Arabidopsis thaliana: one gene and its partners. The protein of the gene in region 4 purifies or fractionates together with the protein of the main gene of each other region. This does not show direct contact. Each region holds a gene or a part of one and is shown on either strand. Other genes may lie near its edges. The genes, in order: AT4G38900, AT5G07310, PMH1 and CDKB1;2.

Region 1 (5,098 bases), on a different chromosome or scaffold from region 4:
CTTGAAAGCCTCAATATCATGATTAAACCGGCACTTGTCTTTATACTGACATGAATCAACGTCTTCTGTTCTCGCAACCTGCGGACAGAGATTGATCGTAGATTGCTGCAAGAAGAAAGAGCATAAATTAATCCCTCCTGTTCTAAACTCTCTCTCATATCCAATGGTTTCAGTTGCCAAAAAAACTAGTTCTTAAAACATAGATAGATTCGAAGCTATACATACAAGCACCGATGTGATTCGAATCAATACCTCGCGGCGTTCCCGTTTCAGTTGTCGTTTAGATTTCTTCTCCTGAACCAAACCCGATTGAGGCGCCCTAACATCGGCGGCATCATTTTGCTTCACGGAACGGCTTGGAGGAGGAGGACAAAGGAACTCCTTCTTAATAGGAGCCATTGATCGTTCTATAAGCTCTTCCGAAGTCGCTTCATACACAGAGAACTGTTTCGTCGATTGAACCGGTAACGCAGCCTTTGCATCTCCTTCAACACTAGTATCCACCGCGTGCTCCGCTATTACATCTGACATAGCGGTCAAGCTCCGTCGTCACGAAAATGAAGTGAGTGATAGTGTTTGTTAGGGTTTTAGATATTATTCACAGAGAGAGACGAAGAAGGCAACAATGTTTTGGGATGCTGTTTAATGGGCCAAAAACCGGCCCATAATGTTAAAATAAACAAACCAACAAAAAGAGACAGAATCCAAGACTAAATTAAAAACTAAAAACAAAACAAACAGAGAATCTTTTTGTCTGAAGCTCAATCAATCCCATTACATATAACTTGTGTTCATAGTTCATACCTATATCTACTATAAATTGAATTTTTTCTTTCTAAGATAACAACATATTGTAAAATTAAATTTCTTGGACTTATATGATATATATGTAAATTCAACTGACTCTGCACATAAATGAAATATAATGTTTGATTTGATATGTAACTTGTTGAAAAACTCCAACCCTTTGATCCACCGCAACAACTTCTCTGCTCTATTCATTTGATTCAGATTTTGTTGCCATGGTTCCATTCTGGTGGTTCTGCTGATGAGACTGTTGCTGCATCTGTTGTGGCTGCTGTCTTAACTGGCTGATGTTGAGTTGCTGGAACATCTCAGCGTTGAGTGATTGCATCTTTGATCTCTCTGATTCGTTCTGACTGCTCTCACCGATTGCCAGTTTCAGTCGCTGGACTTCTCCATTCAGTGCTTCGTTCAGAGCTGCAAAGCGGGGGAAAAAAATCGTCATTTCACATTCGTTAAGCGCAAAAATGGAGATTTTTTTAAAGCATATAGGATCTGGTTCCATTTTTTGTTAAAGTCATGTTAATAATATCGTAAATTTGATACAATGTGAAGAGAAATGTATACCATCGCGAAGACGCGCTTGTTGCTCCATTGCTTGAAGCCGGAACTTAAGCTCATTGTTCTGATTTGTCAACCCCATCATATCGCGCTGGATAATGCAGTAACTAAGATCGTTAGAACAAAACAAAAATTGACCAATCTAGGCGCTTTTATAACATTGTAAACAACGCACCTGCAAAAGTGTGAGCTGAGCAGACAATGTGGTAGCCTCGGTCTGAAGAGTCTGCACTTTGTGTTCCAATTCTACTATGTACCGCATCTTCCTCTCCTTTGACCGTGCTGCGGATTGACGGTTCGCTAAGATTCTGAAAAGAGGATCATTCCTTAAACATCAGAATATTTGATTATAAACCGGTAATGTTAGTCAAGATTCAATATTTGTACCTTTTGACACGTTTAGGGTCAGACATGGCCATCTCTGCTAGTTTATCATTTGCCATGATCTTCTTCATTTCCGCTGCAGTAAACTCACCGTTATTGAACTCGATGCTAAAAGCAGCACCCGAGTTCCCATCAACCGAATTGGTAGGGGAAACTTTCCTTGACATAGATCCAGGAGAAGGAGGCGGCTTTAGAGATTCATCACCAAAAGACAACTTCTCCATGAAACAACTGTCCACTGAAACACTCCTGTAATGTCTGGTGGTAGGAGCAATATCTCCTCCAGCCGCTCTTCTCTTCACGCTCTCTCTCTTTTCACCAGAAGAATTCATATTATTATTGGCACTCTCATTGACACTGCTGCTCTCTCCTTCCGTATCACTACCGTTAGTCTTGGTCCCGCTTGCTCTGCTGCTCTCCATATCATCCCTATTCTCATTACCGTTCTTGCTATCATCAGCTTCAGAGGAGTTCAACACATCAATGTTTTCAAGATTCATATATGCTGAGAAGAGATCATCCATAGCTTCTCTCTCTCCGACACCTTCCCTTTCGCAGCTCGATTCCTTCTTCACAAAAGGATTAGACTTTGACCAATCAGCACACTCCCCACCAGAAAAAGACCTCTCCAATGGTCTCGGAGGGATCAAAGGCATCGAATTAAACCCACTGGGGATATCACTGTTGGAGCGTCTATGAGACTTTCTCGGAGGTAAACTCTCACCGACTCTCAAGGAGCTAGAAGAGGTCGAATTACACCTCGTGAACGGCGATGGAGGCAACGAATGGTTGCTGTTAAACACGCCGGAATCTCTATCCTCCATTGAAACATCGTGATCTCGAAACGGAGAAGGGCTTAACGGAGGTAAGGAGTCAAAAGAGAAGAAAGAGTTGGGCTGTGACATTGACCGTGAATGATTAGCTCCTCCCGGGTTAAAATTATGCGAACCGGGTTGTCGGGTGGTCGGGATCTGAGAAAACGGAGAAGTCGGTGGGATTAAGTTGGGGTGCGACGGAGGAACACCGATTCGTTTGCCACTGTCACTGAAAGGCTTGGAGAATTGAGGAGCTGATGAGCGGATGAAATTAGGGTTTAAATCGAGCTGAGAAATGGGATTTTTGGGAATGGAAGAAGAAGTAGTGCCGAAAGATGAATGAAGTCTCTGGATCATATCACTGTTACACTTCTCTGTATCACCCATTTTAGATCGGATAATGCAGTTTCTAATTCTCACCACTCTCCAATAACTAGAGAAAACCCCTAAAAGATCAAGCTTTGTGTAGAACTAACCTATCATCAAAAAAGAATCAATGATGAGAAGAAAACAAGCATCAAAGTTTTCAAAAGAATTTGACAGAAAAATCAGAGCTTTGGAGAGTAAAATGCAAGTTGGTGGTTACCTCTAACTTCAACGCACTTGAATTAATCAATGGCGCAAATGGCGAGAACGTATTTTGAAGAATGACAAAATCTTTTTTTTTTTTTCTCTCTGTCTCTCAACGTTGAATTAAGAAACTTATCTAATCAATCTTCTTCTTCTCTCTCTCTCTATAGAAATTGGAGAATCACAGAGCCATTTTCTCTTTCTTTTCTTTTTTCCTCCGCAATTTTCTCTCCCCTTTGATTTTTTTTTTCTCGAGAGAGAATAGTAAAAAAAAACTCGATAGAGACGACGACTTTTTTTTTTCTTTTTTGACACGAGCAAGACAGTGTAAACTCTAAAGTAGTACTAGTAACAAAGAAAAACAAAAGACACGGATTTCATGAGAAGTAAGAGAAAAAGAAGAAATATAAAAACACCCAACAAGACGCGTGAATTTACCACAACCTCCCAAGATTTTCTATTTAATGCAATTCTATCCAAAACTTTATATAAATTTGGATTTGTTATTTTTTAGCCATTTATTTCAAATGTTTTTTTAAGTAAAAATCTGTGTATATTGAGTATCAAATACGAATTTAACATATATATTCCTCATTCATATGATTACATTGTATATATATACGGTTATTTTTTGGATAAAGATCTAAAACTTGTTTAGTTTCACAATATTACTGGTTTGACAAAATGAATTTTAGGAATAATATTCTTTGTCATCCGAAATGGAAGTTAAAACCATTTAGCGAAAATGTTTCTTTTTATTTTTGATGATTTGAATATGGATTTGAGATTCAATTCTATTCCGACCACAATTGACATTCTTGTCTAGACGAAAGATTCTGTCCTCCTTATGTTGTCATGTACAATGTAAAAAGCCATTCTTTGTATTTTCTTTAATTATGCCTCTCTTACTTATATATTTCTTTAAATAATATGTAATGGACCGCCATATTGAATGATTTGTTCCCGACTTATTTGTCTACACCAATAATTTCTTTGTTTACGAATTTTAGAGATCGTCTGTGTTGATCTCGTGCTTCATCGTTTATTTATGTAAGGACGATGACAGATAGGTTCGTTCATTTTGGTGATTAATCTATCAACCGTTTCAAGGCTTGGTGCAAAAATGTTCTAAACGGTGGTAACCAGAGTTTACAATCTTTGTAAACAATTTCTAAGATCTAGATTTCACCTATCAATATAATTATATACTTCATTTGCTTTTAATTAGATGAACCCCACCACACAACAAATATTGACTCTTTATAACCACCTCCCTCCATGTTTCTCGTAAATATCTACATATCATTATTTGATTCTACGATTATAGTATTTTACTAGGTGTTTAGTCGCACTACCCGCGGTTTGTTGCGTCAATTCTTTTTATTTTAATTTTTTAAAAGAAATCAAATTACAATGCACGTTTTAAGAAATTTTCTATTTTTGTAAAAAAATTCAGTTTCAAATATAGATTTGACATCAAAATAATCAAAGATAACCAATGATTTTCTTATTTAAATGAACTACTAGTATTTTTGTTCCTTAAGAAATTAATAGAAGACATAGAACAGCGTGTGAAAATGATAATTGAAAGTCGTAATTAAGGTGTTAAATCACGTGGATTAAGTCGTAGTCATATCATAAATGGTCGTGTTACAATTAATTAACAGGAACCGAATAACATCACTATACTGGAGTATTAACGAAACTATAATGCACGTTTTAAAAATCAAACCACGGTGGTTTAAGAAATAAAATTGTTTGATTGAGTAATTATGTAAAGTTTGTATGTGCAACGGATATGATCTACCGATCTAAACGTGGGCCAAACATATTAATCAGATTAATATAAGTGGGGGCAGTGTTCGTCTTGATCACGTTTGAATTAATTTCACAAACAATATTATGCCTGCATCACAAATTAAGAGTTTAGAGCAAATTTTTATTTTGGCTTTCGAGAAATTCAT
Region 2 (3,865 bases), on a different chromosome or scaffold from region 4:
TATAATTATCATAAAATTGAAAGTAAATTTTTTAAAAAAGTTGTCAAGCCGTTTTATGCAAAAAAGATTTTTTTTTTAAAAAAAAAATTTACATTATGTGACGTCGTTAAACTCATTTTCCCTGCTTGGCAAATTCACAAAATGTTGTTTCTTCGTTCTCGTCAACAAATCTGAAAATACCTACACATGCCATGTGTATATCCTGTTTTAAAGTTTAATTTTTTCATTTAAATTCAAATTCATTGACATGTCGTTGTAAGATACTCTCAACCTTTTTTCTATCAGATTGACTTTCTTATTAAAAAAGTCACTTTCTTTTCTCGTAATCTTAGCTATATAATGTCATTTTTGTATAATTTAGACGTAGAAAAGTTGGCTAATTTAATAGATCATAATAATATCAAATCATATTTATCCATAGTCAAATGAGTACGTTATACATCCTGAACAGCAATCCTGAACAGAAATTATTTTTTCGTCGTCCCGTCAAAACGTGTTATCCTACGTTTTATCAGATGCCATGCTATATGTTATGTTTTTATTTCAATGTATTTATAATCAAGTTTGAATATTACATATTTTTTACTTTAATAGTTAATACATTACAAAGAAACAAAAAAAGCATGTTGCTTGTTGTTGAGAAAGAATAACAAACAAACACATGTGTCATGTGTGCCACGTGCAAACATGACTAAAAAAAGACAACAGTTTCTCGATTGCAACTCTCTTGGTTTCTTTCCTACTTCCGTAATGAGAAAAAAAGCTCTGTCTATACCTAAAAAAAGTTATTTCTTAGAATATCAAAAGCTAGATTTTAGGAAATTAAATATTTGAGATCAACAAATATCGTTAGTTGTGAATTGCGACTTGTCAAGGGCCCATACAAAATGTTTTTTTTTTTGTGTGTGTGAGCATATCCTTATAATAATTTGTTTGTTTAATACCAAAATGGTGCTTTAAATGTTAATATATTACTGTAAACTTTCCCTAGATCCACTAATTTTTCTTTTTATCGTTTATTAAAAAACATTAATAGTAATCTAACCCGTTATCTATATATACATTTTAAGTGAGTATGAAAATTTACTCCAATTTTGATCTCCTGAATTGTGATAATCTTATCTCTTTTTTTCTTTCTAAAACTTGAATCTTGGACTTGGTGTTTGCATGTAAAAATGTTTTTTCATTACTCATTTAACTGAACTATTTCTAGATATAGATGAAATTAGAAATCCTCTTCGAATTATCTATCAAAAGTAGAAAGAGCCTCAATAACAACATTTCACACGTTTTTACTTGAGTTAGTGATCAATGTGTACACATTTCTCGAATATAACTAAATTTGTCTTTCAATCTCTATCCAAATATTTTATAGGGGAGAAAAGACCCCACTCTCGCGTAACGTAAACTCCTTTTCTATATCACAACATATATGTAAAACAATTTGATTATTTTCTTATTCCTTAACTTTTCCAGAGAATGTCGGTTTATAGTTATACACGAAGAATATCTATGTTTCTTTGTATTTAAATCAAACTTCCAAAAGAATATAATTATTTTTCTTTTCTCTTCTTCGATTCCATGCATGTTTTCTCAAAAAAGCAATTAAACAGAATATGTATATATGCATGCACTCCTTCTTTATTTTTTTCTTTTTGTCATCTTGGAGCTTTACATAGCGTTCATATTATTTTACATTCTTCTATTAGAGCTTTTCTACTAATCTTTATTGATATCCATTTCTTAACTTGTTCAGATTCACACGTACACATTTTTTGCAATAATCAAATCAAAAAGCTTTTTTCACGCGTCTCTACAGTTTTAGCAGGGTACACTGATATAGTACATGATTTTCTATATCGAAAATTACAATAGCTAGAAAAATATATAATTTTTTTAAAAATATGCAAAACTTCTGCTTGACGTTAAATTTTGTTTTGTCATTTGTCTTATGTTCACACAGACGAAAAAGCTTCTATAAAACCGTCAAAATAGCTCACCCCTAAAACCCTAATTATATATTCCCTCTTTCATTCTCCTTCTTCGTCTTTTCTTTGTTTCTCATATTCAAGACATCCTCAATTCCAAATCTTAAACCCTAAATTTACAGACACAATCGAGATCACCTGAAAAAAGAGGTTTAAAGATTTTAGCAAAGATGGCGAATTCAGGAAATTATGGAAAGAGGCCCTTTCGAGGCGATGAATCGGATGAAAAGAAAGAAGCCGATGATGATGAGAACATATTCCCTTTCTTCTCTGCCCGATCCCAATATGACATGCGTGCCATGGTCTCAGCCTTGACTCAAGTCATTGGAAACCAAAGCAGCTCTCATGATAATAACCAACATCAACCTGTTGTGTATAATCAACAAGATCCTAACCCACCGGCTCCTCCAACTCAAGATCAAGGTATATTTACATATATAGTTGACAAATTAGTTACCATATTTATGGGATGATATATGTGAATGAAAAAATGAGCATAATGTTTTATAATAGCAGTTGAATTTGTGCTCTGGACGACGAATATATCCATGTAGTATATATGAGAAATATATCAAGTATATATACGAATGTTTTCTCTTGTTGATTAGGGCTATTGAGGAAGAGGCACTATAGAGGGGTAAGACAACGACCATGGGGAAAGTGGGCAGCTGAAATTCGGGATCCGCAAAAGGCAGCACGGGTGTGGCTCGGGACATTTGAGACTGCTGAAGCTGCGGCTTTAGCTTATGATAACGCAGCTCTTAAGTTCAAAGGAAGCAAAGCCAAACTCAATTTCCCTGAGAGAGCTCAACTAGCAAGTAACACTAGTACAACTACCGGTCCACCAAACTATTATTCTTCTAATAATCAAATTTACTACTCAAATCCGCAGACTAATCCGCAAACCATACCTTATTTTAACCAATACTACTATAACCAATATCTTCATCAAGGGGGGAATAGTAACGATGCATTAAGTTATAGCTTGGCCGGTGGAGAAACCGGAGGCTCAATGTATAATCATCAGACGTTATCTACTACAAATTCTTCATCTTCTGGTGGATCTTCAAGGCAACAAGATGATGAACAAGATTACGCCAGATATTTGCGTTTTGGGGATTCTTCACCTCCTAATTCTGGTTTTTGAGATCTTCAATAAACTGATAATAAAGGATTTGGGTCACTTGTTATGAGGGGATCATATGTTTTCTAATTGAGTTTTTTTTTGTATTTGTATTTTTCATTATGCGTGTGTTTTTGTTTGTGATCACTTTGTTTACTTCTTTCAAGAGTTTTTCATGGGTTCTTTGTTTGTAACCCTTGCATTTGGATTTGTTTTAAGTTTTTTTTTTTTTTTTTTTTTTTTTTTGGGTGGGGTAATTCGTTTTGTATTAAAGAAGAAATTATAAATACACAAGAGTGTTACCCTTTAAATTTATTGGAGTTCCCCCAAACAAACACACATGTAGACACATAAAATTATAGCATTAATAACTGCTAAATTCCGAATTGCGTTGTTATGTGGCCATTATATTGCCAACGCAGATATAACAAACCAAAGCTTTTTATTTATTGAATGAAAATACATTTTCTACCGTGTATCTTACAAGACATAAGGCAAAGTAGCATACCTACATGACAGTACTAATAACATCTGTTGAGAGTCGTTTAGTTTTAATATTTTTCGTCCCGTTTTCTTGGACTAAGATGACAGCCTTGATTTAAGTAATTATATATCAAGTTTATACATACACAATTTCCTTTCCAATTTTATTGGACTGTTTTGGGGGATCTCTTCAGTCAGTTTGAATTCAAAAAATTACTACGTGCGTGTAATAGTTTATGGCCTGGTTATTCGAAAACACCGTAGACTTTAG
Region 3 (5,636 bases), on a different chromosome or scaffold from region 4:
AACAAATGCCATATTTTGTTAATAATCTGATTCATCACTTGTTTGTCGATAATCCCCATTCCTTAACACCCTAAAAAGAAAAAAATCGTAAATATCAATTTTTAAAATGTTCAAAACTGATACTTCTTCCAGAGTATTACTGACTTCAGATCAGCTGTGGATGAGTGTTGACGGTTGTACAGGCGCCGTTCTTGAGTTTTTTTCAAAATGTCTCCAAATGGAGAAGCTGGGGGATGGTGTTGAGATGGCTACCATTGATTTGCATGCCCTTGTGGGTGGTGTTGACTGTTTTACTCATCTCAATGATTCTTATACCACCACCTGAACGCCTTTCAACGTTTATGGGATCTCAGCTTTGTAACCCTCAGAATCACCAAGTATGTGTACAAGAACCCGTTCTTGGGCCTATAAGACTGGATGAAACTAAATCTGGATTCACTGCAAAGGGGATCACACCCAAGGAGCTTGGTATTATTATGCTAGCTATGCAGAGCCAAGCCTTTTCGTTCAGCAGCTAGTTGCATGCTCTTGCTATGCAGTGCATCAAGTTTTGCGAAATGAAGGCTAATTAGTTGTGAAACATAAGAGTAATGCTTTTTGTAGTGAACAATAATTGTCGACTGTGTTTTATTTTTGTTGGTCAGATATGAGAATTAAAGCTTAAAACAATTTTTCTTGTGTATGGTTCTACCAAAAACTTGCAAGATCTAACAAGAAATCAAAACTAGGGATGATTTGAATCTTTGATCAACCACATTATTTCCTTTTCTCACAATCTAACAAGATTCATAAATGGAAGTGGCGAAGTAAGGGAAACACATTTCACTCAAATTGAGAAATAAAAATGAATTAGAGGATATGAAATAATGATATAACTTATGTTGGTTTATGAGACAAGAAGTAGCTACAGAATTTATATATAGCTCGACTCCTTGTAAACTACTCAACTCGAGATACCGAGTTCTCTCCTAAGTCAACTCCATTATTGCTGAGTCGGGTCAAAACCAACACAACACTTCTCTCAGTAAGATCTTTTACCATCGTTTGATCCAAACCCACCAAAGCTGCTCCTTCCACTTGACTGAGAAGAACGGTCTGAACCAAATCCTCCTGAAGAACCGCCTGAACCAAAGCTTCCGAAACCAGATGAGCGGTCTGAACCACCAGAGTAACGGCTGCTTGATCCCCCTGAACCTCCATAACTACCACCACCACCACCTGAACGGCCACTGCTGCCACCATAACCTCCATAACTACCACCACCTGAACGGCCACTGCTGCTACCGTAACTACCATACCCACCACCGCCTGATCGACCTCCTCCGAACGACCCACCAGATCTAGCACCTACTCCTTCAAACATGCTTGCGCTTCCTCTTTCCACAGCAATGCTAGGCAGCTGAATTCAAAACCAAATAGATTCAGAACTGTTTGTTACCCAAGCTATTCATACAAAAGATACAAAGGTGGTAAAGAAAGATATTAACCTCATTGAATCTGCTTCCGACTTCTTTCTCAATCATTTTAACAGCCCTGGTTTGATCTTGACCGTGGATGAGAATCGCGCTTCCTTTCTTTCCAGCACGACCAGTTCGCCCCGTTCGGTGAACAAACGTCTCCGTGTTATTAGGAAGCTCATAATGAATTACCTGTACACAAAGCACAATACAGGTTAATAAAATGAGAAACAGAACTAGTTAAGCGCAAGAAAAGGTATTGTTTTCACTCACTAAATCGACATTAGGTACATCAAGTCCACGGGCAGCAACATCAGTTGCAACAAGAATACTGAAATTCCCATCCCTGAAACCAGCAAGTGTTCTTTCTCTCTGAGCTTGAGATATGTCACCGTGTAAAGCTTCACATTTATAGCTTTTTGCCAATCCAAATGCAAGGCGATCTGCATCACGTTTTGTTTGGGTAAAGACAATGCATTTTCCTCCTTTGCCATGTTCCTGTAAAGGAGAAGATGTTATAAAATCACGACTGGAAACAAAAATGAAGAATCAAAACAAGATACAGATAATTGGCTTAAAAGCAAAGTAAAGAAAACATACCTTTACAAGAGGACCAATGATGGATGCTCTTCCATAAGAATCTGCAGCGATAGAATACATAGTAATCCCATCTGCAAGTTTCTGATCTGAATCTCCAACCTAAATTACATAAGAGTACATGTGTCATTAAAAAATGTCACTTCATTAACTACACTGCTACAGCCAAGATCAATATTTGCAATTTGTACAGCAATTCTAAGATATAAACACAAGCAGGTATAAGACTACTCACAAGATCAATTGTCAAAGGATTGTTCAGGTACTTCTTGGTGAGAGATCTGATCCAACTTGGCATTGTTGCAGAAAACATCATACTCTGACGCTTCGCTGGCAACTTCTGCAATATTATTTCAACATCTTCCGCAAATCCAACTTGAAGCATCTGATCAGCTTCATCAAGAACCACAAACTGAACCTCTGATAGATTCAAAGCTCCCCTTTTCATCAGATCAATGATACGACCAGGAGTTCCAACCGCCACATCAATACCATAGTTCAGCTCCCTCATTTGTTGCCCGATTGGTGTACCTCCATAGAGACAAATAGTATCCAAACTTGGAGCAGATTCCCTGAACTCTTTCTCAACCTGACGAGCAAGCTCCCTCGTCGGTGCCAAAACCAAGCACTGAGGATTCTTCCCACGACTGTCACATCAAAAGACAACATAAGAACCAAAGGAAGTGCAAATCTCTCAATCACAAATGATCGTTATATATAACAGTAAACACAAACCCATGTTTAGCGTTGAATTTGATGATTTTGTCAATAATAGGAATCCCAAAAGCAAGTGTCTTTCCCGTTCCAGTCCTTGCACGGCCAATCATATCACGACCCTCCATCGCTGGCTCCAACACAGCTTTCTATTCAACCAAACACAAACATCAAAAACTCAGTTAAAAAAATCTAAACTTTTAATTGATCTCTATAACCAAATGGAACAGAGAAGAAGATCATATATACCTGAATAGGAAAGAGTTTCTCAATACCCCTACCCTTCAAAGCTTTAACAATCTCCGGAGATATACCAAGATCAGCTATCGCAAGCCCATCACCACCACCGCTGCTACCAACACTCTCCGAATCTCCAATCCCTCCATCGTTCTCATAAGAAGGAGCATACTCTTGAGCCGCGAATCCCGCAGAAGAAACAATCGACGATCTAAACTCCGACGGTACAGATTTAACATGAAAGTCTCTCACTTTAACACCAAAAGGGCTCGAATTCGAAGGGAGAGACTTGACATTAGTAGCTCCATTTGCTAGATCGGAGACTGTGGCGGCGGCTGGAGCAAGGTTATGAAATAGAGCTGCGTTAATGGAGGTCACCGAAGCGGCGAGAGTACGCCTTGACGTACCAAGGATAGATCGGCGAAGTACTGTGCTAATCATTTTCAGATTTCAGAGAGTGTGATGGATTCTGGTGAAGATGAAATGTGAAACCCCAGAAATGAGAATTAGGGTTTTAGGGAGACGGCAAAAGGGTTTAGAGATTTAAGAAGAAGAATCAAAGGCGGGTATAAAGGGAACTTTGTTATAATCACCTGCGGGTGAGTGTATGGTATGTTCCTACACGTGCAAGCTTGTGTAAGGAAACAGAGTTGATTATTATTTTTTGCTTGAGCCCAAAGGTGTTCTTGAATGTGAAGCAAAGAGTTAATGAGTTCTGTTTTTTGTAACTTTGTGTAGTGTGGCAAATTGGCAATAGCTCAGGTTCGGAATCAGATCTATCAAATTAACCTATACCATATGTCTCAAATCATTAGTGATTATGTACAATGTAAAAGTCTTAGAATTGCCTAATGAATGAATACACCTAAAATGTGAGCTCTTGGATCCTTAAAGTTCGACATCATTCCATGGTCGGGTCAAAGGTTTCTATAACTTCTCAAAATGACACCTTTAGCAGTCTAAATGTGTCTCAATCCTTGGTGATGTATAAAGACTTTGATTGGCTAATGAATAAATGGAAAGCACTGTAACTGAAACTCAATTGTATCTTTCAAAATCGTCCAAAAACACATGTTTATACTAAGCAAGAAAATAACTACTTGATCTGATGTGAAGCAAAGCTGGTTTCATGGATCCGTAAGGTTCGAAATTATTGCATAGTACCCGGTTGGGTCTTGAAACTTCTACAAAATGATGTCTTTAGCCATCTCAGTAAGCATTGGTGGTGGAGCCATTGATGTTGCCTAACACTTGAGTCATATCCAAACGGGTCTTGCAATGGAACTGGAGTTCATATTGAGCTCCAAGAATACGATAACGTTTTAACCAAAACAGCTTCTTGCTCAACTCATGACTCTGAGCTTTGATGACAAGAAACCGTTTCTTGAACCTCATCTCAAACTGTTCTCTAGACTTCTTATCGACGTGAGGCGATCTTAGCACCGTGTACAGAGTTCGTGTATCGGGCATTGCGACTTTACGAGTGTGAGGAGGAAGACACCAAGCTTGCTTTTCCGGGTTAACAAAAGACCGAATCGCTATACAAATCTTTGTTCCTTTTATCTTTGATGTGCTTTCTTCTGCTGCCTCTTTCTACAATTCAACCCCAAACACACAACAACAACAACATAAACAACAGTTCTAAATCATTTCAATGAATTTCACATTCCGATTCCTATTCGAATTTGAATCTGATGAAGCACTTTGAATAATATTCTATGAATTTGAACAAAAATGCATATACCTGGAGAGCGATCTCCTTCCTACTCAATGGTCTGACATTGTCTGGAGAAATTTTAATCTTAGCTTTCTTAATCTCGTTTTTGCGATCCTTTGTGACAGTGGCGTAACCTTGTGACGCGATTCCTGCGGGAACAATCATCGACGGCTCAGATCTAATGTGGATGTTCCTCGCTCTGATGCCAAACGAGTTAGGAGACGACGCGAGAGTGAATCGAGAGCTGACGGAAGCTCCGGTGGTGGCTGGAGTGAGATTGTGCGAAATACACGAATTGAAGGAGGCTAACGCGGCGGAGAGAGTCTGCCTCGACGGGAGTGAAGATCGGCGCAATACTCCGGCGATCATTTTCAGATTCAACGGTGAGACGAAGAAATGACGACGAGAGATTGAAGGAAATCTGAAAAACCCCAAATTAGGGTTTCAGTGAAAGAGTAAGCGAAATCAGAGAGAATTGTGAGGACAGGATCACCTGTGACGAGTGTACGTTATCTTACGGTGAGCTACAGTATAATTTTGTTTTTTTACTGAGACAAGTGAAAAGATGCAAAAATGTTAAAATCCCAGGAAGCAAGGTGAATAAAAATTACAAATTAACTCTACTAGTTTAACCAGAGATAATCAGAGTAATACATAAGAGAGACTCAAAAAAAAACTATATCCATGGATTCTAGAGTTTCTGAGTAATGTAATCATCAATCCTGGAATCTCTGGTGGGTGTTGTTGTCTGAAGAAGGCAGATACAAGTTTTGGGATTTGAGAGATTCTTCTTCCTTCCTTTGGTTTTTTTTGTTTCTCATTGTTTTGTCTCTGTTTCAGCTAGTTTACGCTCTAGTACTCGGCTTCTTGTTGAAAGATTCAATAAAGCGGAACATCCAACGATCTAACATTCC
Region 4 (3,982 bases):
AGCTGTTGCAACACAACAATATTTGTCACAAAAAAAAAACAATCGTTTCAGATGGACAAGATATTCTAAAGTAAAGACTTGTCAAGCATTAACTTTGAAGAGAAGATTGTATTGGCTGAGTGATAGGGTTCTCTTCATCCATTGTTTTCTGTTTTTTCCTTGGTCGTCCTTGAGGTTTCTTGGGTGGTTTTGGCATTGCTTTACACTTGCATGAACGTTTGTTGTGTCCGACTTGTTGACAATTGCTGCAAGTCTAAATATGCAAAGATTAAATTTAATAATTTGAAAATGAAGATCTTGTGAAACATAATTCATTGTTCTCTATTTTACCATTTAAACTTTTTCACGTGTATAAAGAACTTTTTGAGGTGGACGATCTTCAGTTGGATCACGGATTCTGTCATTGTTCTTTGGTCGATTTTTGGAAATTAATATCCCATTAATATTTAATTACTATGGGGTTAAGTTTATTAACAGGTTTTAGTTCAGAGTTTGTTTTACTAAAAACATAGTTCAGAATTTAAAAATAGATCTGACCAAAGCTGACGGTTTTTTTCATTAAATTCCCTTAATAAAATGGTTGCAAATAAGTTTATTGACCCTAGTAAATCAGTAACGGTTTTTCATAATCAACTTTAAAGTCTTTAAGCCATTTTCTTTCGTTTAGTCAATGCCCTATCATTGAATATTATCTTTGTTTTCTTTTTCATTATTGTAATTTTCTTTTATGTATAGTAGTCCAATAATTTTTTAATATTCAGCCATTGTTTAGTTTCCACATGAAACACACAATTTGTTTATAATCTTGTTTTTCTTTCCCCTTTACATAGAACTTCTTATGATGATTTTTATGAGTTTGTGAAATTGCATACCTTGCACATTCGTAGACCTAGTCAGAATTTTTGTTGTTGTTGTAGTATCTTTATTGTAAAAAGAAATGGTTTTCTTAATGTAACTATCGATCAAAACTGATGCAATTACCATACATGAAATTGGAATGAGTGTAAGAAGAATATAAAGTTGAAATAAATCAAAAATGTGAAACTGAATCAATATCATATGAAGTTGAATCATGTATACTAGAAGCCTAGAACACAAGAAACAACCCACCATTAATGAATAATGAGTAAGAGTTCACAGTCCCAAAATAATTGAAGTTACAAATTCGAACACAAAAAATCAAACCTAAACATTTTTCCAATTGGTTGAGTAAGTGAAAAAAAACTACGTAGTAAGAAATTCTTTTTTTGAGTTTGTGCCAAACATTGAACATTAACGTATAAGGAGAAAACTAATGGGATACAAGCTAAAACAGTTATAGTCTTATTAATTAGTATGTTAAATACTAGATTAAAGTTAAAATGAAGTTGGAAAAGCTCGAAGTTTCAACCAATTAATGCGAAATGATCGACTCTTCAAGTAATATTAATAGTTTAGCAAAATAAATGACTGAAAAATCTTTATTATGGGTTGTGGCTGCAAGCATGAGCTTAGCTTTTTGTACTCAGGGCCGGCTTTACATCAAAGATCATGCATAGATTCATTCAACTAAACATTCACCATGGATAATGAATTGAAATCTATAAACATAATCAAGCAAATATCTTATACTATACTTATCTGTTTAAAATGACTTTGAGTCTTTGACTAATAAAATATTATTGGTACGTGTGAAGCGTGCGAGGGATTCAAATGTTAAACGTTATAGCAAAGAGGCGCCTTTATTTACCAGATCTAAAATCGAAAAGGGGCTTTAGGGTTTATAAGACCCAAACAAAAAACATTCATCAGTCTCAATTCAAAATCCTCCATCAATGGAGAAATACGAGAAGCTCGAAAAGGTCGGTGAAGGAACCTATGGAAAAGTCTACAAAGCAATGGAGAAAACCACCGGAAAACTCGTCGCTCTGAAGAAAACTAGGCTCGAAATGGACGAAGAAGGTATACCACCAACGGCTCTCCGTGAGATCTCTCTTCTCCAAATGCTTTCTCAATCAATCTACATCGTTCGTCTCCTCTGCGTCGAACATGTTATTCAATCGAAAGATTCGACTGTTTCTCACTCTCCCAAATCCAATCTCTATCTCGTTTTTGAGTATCTCGACACTGATCTCAAGAAATTTATAGATTCTCATAGAAAGGGCTCGAATCCTAGACCGCTTGAGGCTTCTCTTGTGCAGAGGTTTATGTTTCAGCTTTTTAAAGGTGTGGCTCATTGTCATAGCCATGGTGTGCTTCACCGTGATCTTAAACCGCAGAATCTTCTATTGGATAAGGATAAAGGGATTCTTAAGATTGCTGATTTGGGTCTTAGTCGTGCTTTTACTGTGCCTCTTAAGGCTTATACACATGAGATTGTTACTCTTTGGTATAGAGCTCCTGAAGTTTTGCTTGGTTCTACTCATTACTCTACTGCTGTTGATATTTGGTCTGTTGGATGCATCTTTGGTTAGTAATCAGCTACTATGTCTCTTTTAATGGTCTTTTGTTCTACTGTTTGGATTACTGATGTTTCCCCATTTTTTTGTAGCCGAGATGATTAGGAGGCAAGCTCTTTTCCCTGGTGATTCTGAGTTTCAGCAACTACTTCATATTTTCAGGTATTTGCTTCTTGTTTTTGATGCCAATGTGTATGTATACAGGAACCAGTTTAGGACTTTAGCCCATTAGGTTCAGTACTCGTGAACTCATTTGGATTATGGGGACTGTCTAGTATCAATATATCTGAAGTATGGTTTTGTTTTGGGTTCTGGAGATTGTTAGGAACACCAACTGAGCAGCAATGGCCGGGTGTAATGGCATTGCGTGACTGGCATGTCTATCCAAAGTGGGAGCCGCAAGACTTATCACGTGCTGTTCCATCTCTATCTCCTGAAGGAATTGATCTTCTCACGGTAATGCTCTTTTCTAAAATATGACCATTGTTGGAGAAGTGGCCTAAGATTCTCTTGCATACTTGATCTCTTTAGTAGATTCTTTCTGTTGGGGTTCGTTCCTAGTTGATGATAATTTGTTTTGAACCTTTGAACAATTGCAGCAAATGTTGAAGTACAATCCAGCAGAAAGAATTTCAGCAAAAGCAGCTCTCGATCATCCCTACTTTGACAGCCTTGACAAATCTCAGTTCTGACCTCTGCCAAATTACTGATCAGGCTTCTCTTTGGAGTTCTGAAGCTGATGGCTCAAGTTTATTGTCTTGGTGTCTTATGCTGTGTGCTTTAGAAAGATTTGTACTTAAACTAAACAATCTGAAAACCTTGTTTGTTCAGCGAGAGTGAGAGAATCTTCTTTAAGTGGCCAATTTTATTTGTTCATGTAAACAAGTCTATCAAAGCAAAAATGGTTAACCCTATTAAGCAGACAAATCATTAGTGTACATAAATGAGAGACGAATTTGAAATATTTGCTGTTTCATTACAACGACAATTGCTACTCAAACACACAAGTAAATTACATATCTCATGATATTACACAATTGAGAAACAGAACAAGATACAGAGATCTCTTGTATTAATGTAAAAAAAACAAAACAAATGATGAGTAGCTTCAATTAGACCAGACATGGAGGAGGCCGTGTCTGTTTCCTGTGTATATTTCATTCCGTTCTTCGTCGTAGAAGAGAGCGGTTATGTCTTCCAAAGCCTCAGCAACCGCACTTCTCCTTCGAGAGGAATTCCCCAAATCACTACTGCTGCAGTCCTCTTCCTTAGGAGGACCATTATTTGCTTTTATCTTAGCTAAGCATTTACCAGTCAAGATATTGCTTATGTTAATCGACCCCGCTACATCAACAACCAAAATCACGACAATGTCTCAATAGCAAAACAAAATCAGACCATGAGGTTTCTTGATTTGAAGAGTGGATGATGAGTCTACTTACCATTTCCTTCTATCCACTGATCTTCAGTATCTGCCTTGCAATATGAGATGATCAGATCTTGATCGCTTGTTATGTAGATATTGTTTGTGTTACAGTCTGGAT

Evidence for each region.
Region 1: the proteins of CDKB1;2 (region 4) and AT4G38900 purify together in Arabidopsis thaliana (affinity purification with mass spectrometry, with the first as the bait; one large-scale study listed by BioGRID). This does not show direct contact.
Region 2: the proteins of CDKB1;2 (region 4) and AT5G07310 purify together in Arabidopsis thaliana (affinity purification with mass spectrometry, with the first as the bait; one large-scale study listed by BioGRID). This does not show direct contact.
Region 3: the proteins of CDKB1;2 (region 4) and PMH1 purify together in Arabidopsis thaliana (affinity purification with mass spectrometry, with the first as the bait; one large-scale study listed by BioGRID). This does not show direct contact.

The regions. Positions count from the first base shown.
Region 1 is NC_003075.7:18,138,570-18,143,667, forward strand, and holds AT4G38900 (Basic-leucine zipper (bZIP) transcription factor family protein), read right to left. Parts: upstream 3,382-5,098; 5' UTR 3,151-3,381; exon of another isoform or gene 3,041-3,150; 5' UTR 2,952-3,040; coding exon 1,753-2,951; intron 1,692-1,752; coding exon 1,541-1,691; intron 1,457-1,540; coding exon 1,372-1,456; intron 1,222-1,371; coding exon 995-1,221; 3' UTR 726-994; downstream 1-725. Other genes in the region: AT4G38890 (FMN-linked oxidoreductases superfamily protein), read right to left, coding at 1-105, 253-531. UniProt on the Arabidopsis thaliana protein: Transcription factor that acts as a repressor of reproductive development, meristem size and plant growth. Regulates meristem size, cell size and cell number during plant development.
Region 2 is NC_003076.8:2,303,526-2,307,390, forward strand, and holds AT5G07310 (Integrase-type DNA-binding superfamily protein), read left to right. Parts: upstream 1-2,025; 5' UTR 2,026-2,158; coding exon 2,159-2,411; intron 2,412-2,596; coding exon 2,597-3,135; 3' UTR 3,136-3,312; downstream 3,313-3,865.
Region 3 is NC_003074.8:7,885,192-7,890,827, reverse strand, and holds PMH1 (putative mitochondrial RNA helicase 1), read right to left. Parts: upstream 3,553-5,636; 5' UTR 3,447-3,552; coding exon 3,018-3,446; intron 2,918-3,017; coding exon 2,790-2,917; intron 2,702-2,789; coding exon 2,290-2,701; intron 2,157-2,289; coding exon 2,058-2,156; intron 1,956-2,057; coding exon 1,731-1,955; intron 1,650-1,730; coding exon 1,488-1,649; intron 1,400-1,487; coding exon 1,022-1,399; 3' UTR 675-1,021; downstream 1-674. Other genes in the region: RPS10 (ribosomal protein S10), read right to left, coding at 4,215-4,598, 4,750-5,091; AT3G22290 (Endoplasmic reticulum vesicle transporter protein), read right to left, coding at 5,568-5,635.
Region 4 is NC_003071.7:16,150,737-16,154,718, forward strand, and holds CDKB1;2 (cyclin-dependent kinase B1;2), read left to right. Parts: upstream 1-1,736; 5' UTR 1,737-1,814; coding exon 1,815-2,448; intron 2,449-2,530; coding exon 2,531-2,600; coding exon of another isoform or gene 2,601-2,670; exon of another isoform or gene 2,671-2,755; coding exon 2,756-2,894; exon of another isoform or gene 2,895-3,037; coding exon 3,038-3,130; 3' UTR 3,131-3,350; downstream 3,351-3,982. Other genes in the region: AT2G38630 (Transducin/WD40 repeat-like superfamily protein), read right to left, coding at 3,547-3,782, 3,881-3,982. UniProt on the Arabidopsis thaliana protein: Together with CDKB1-1, promotes both the last division in the stomatal cell lineage as well as the number of stomata.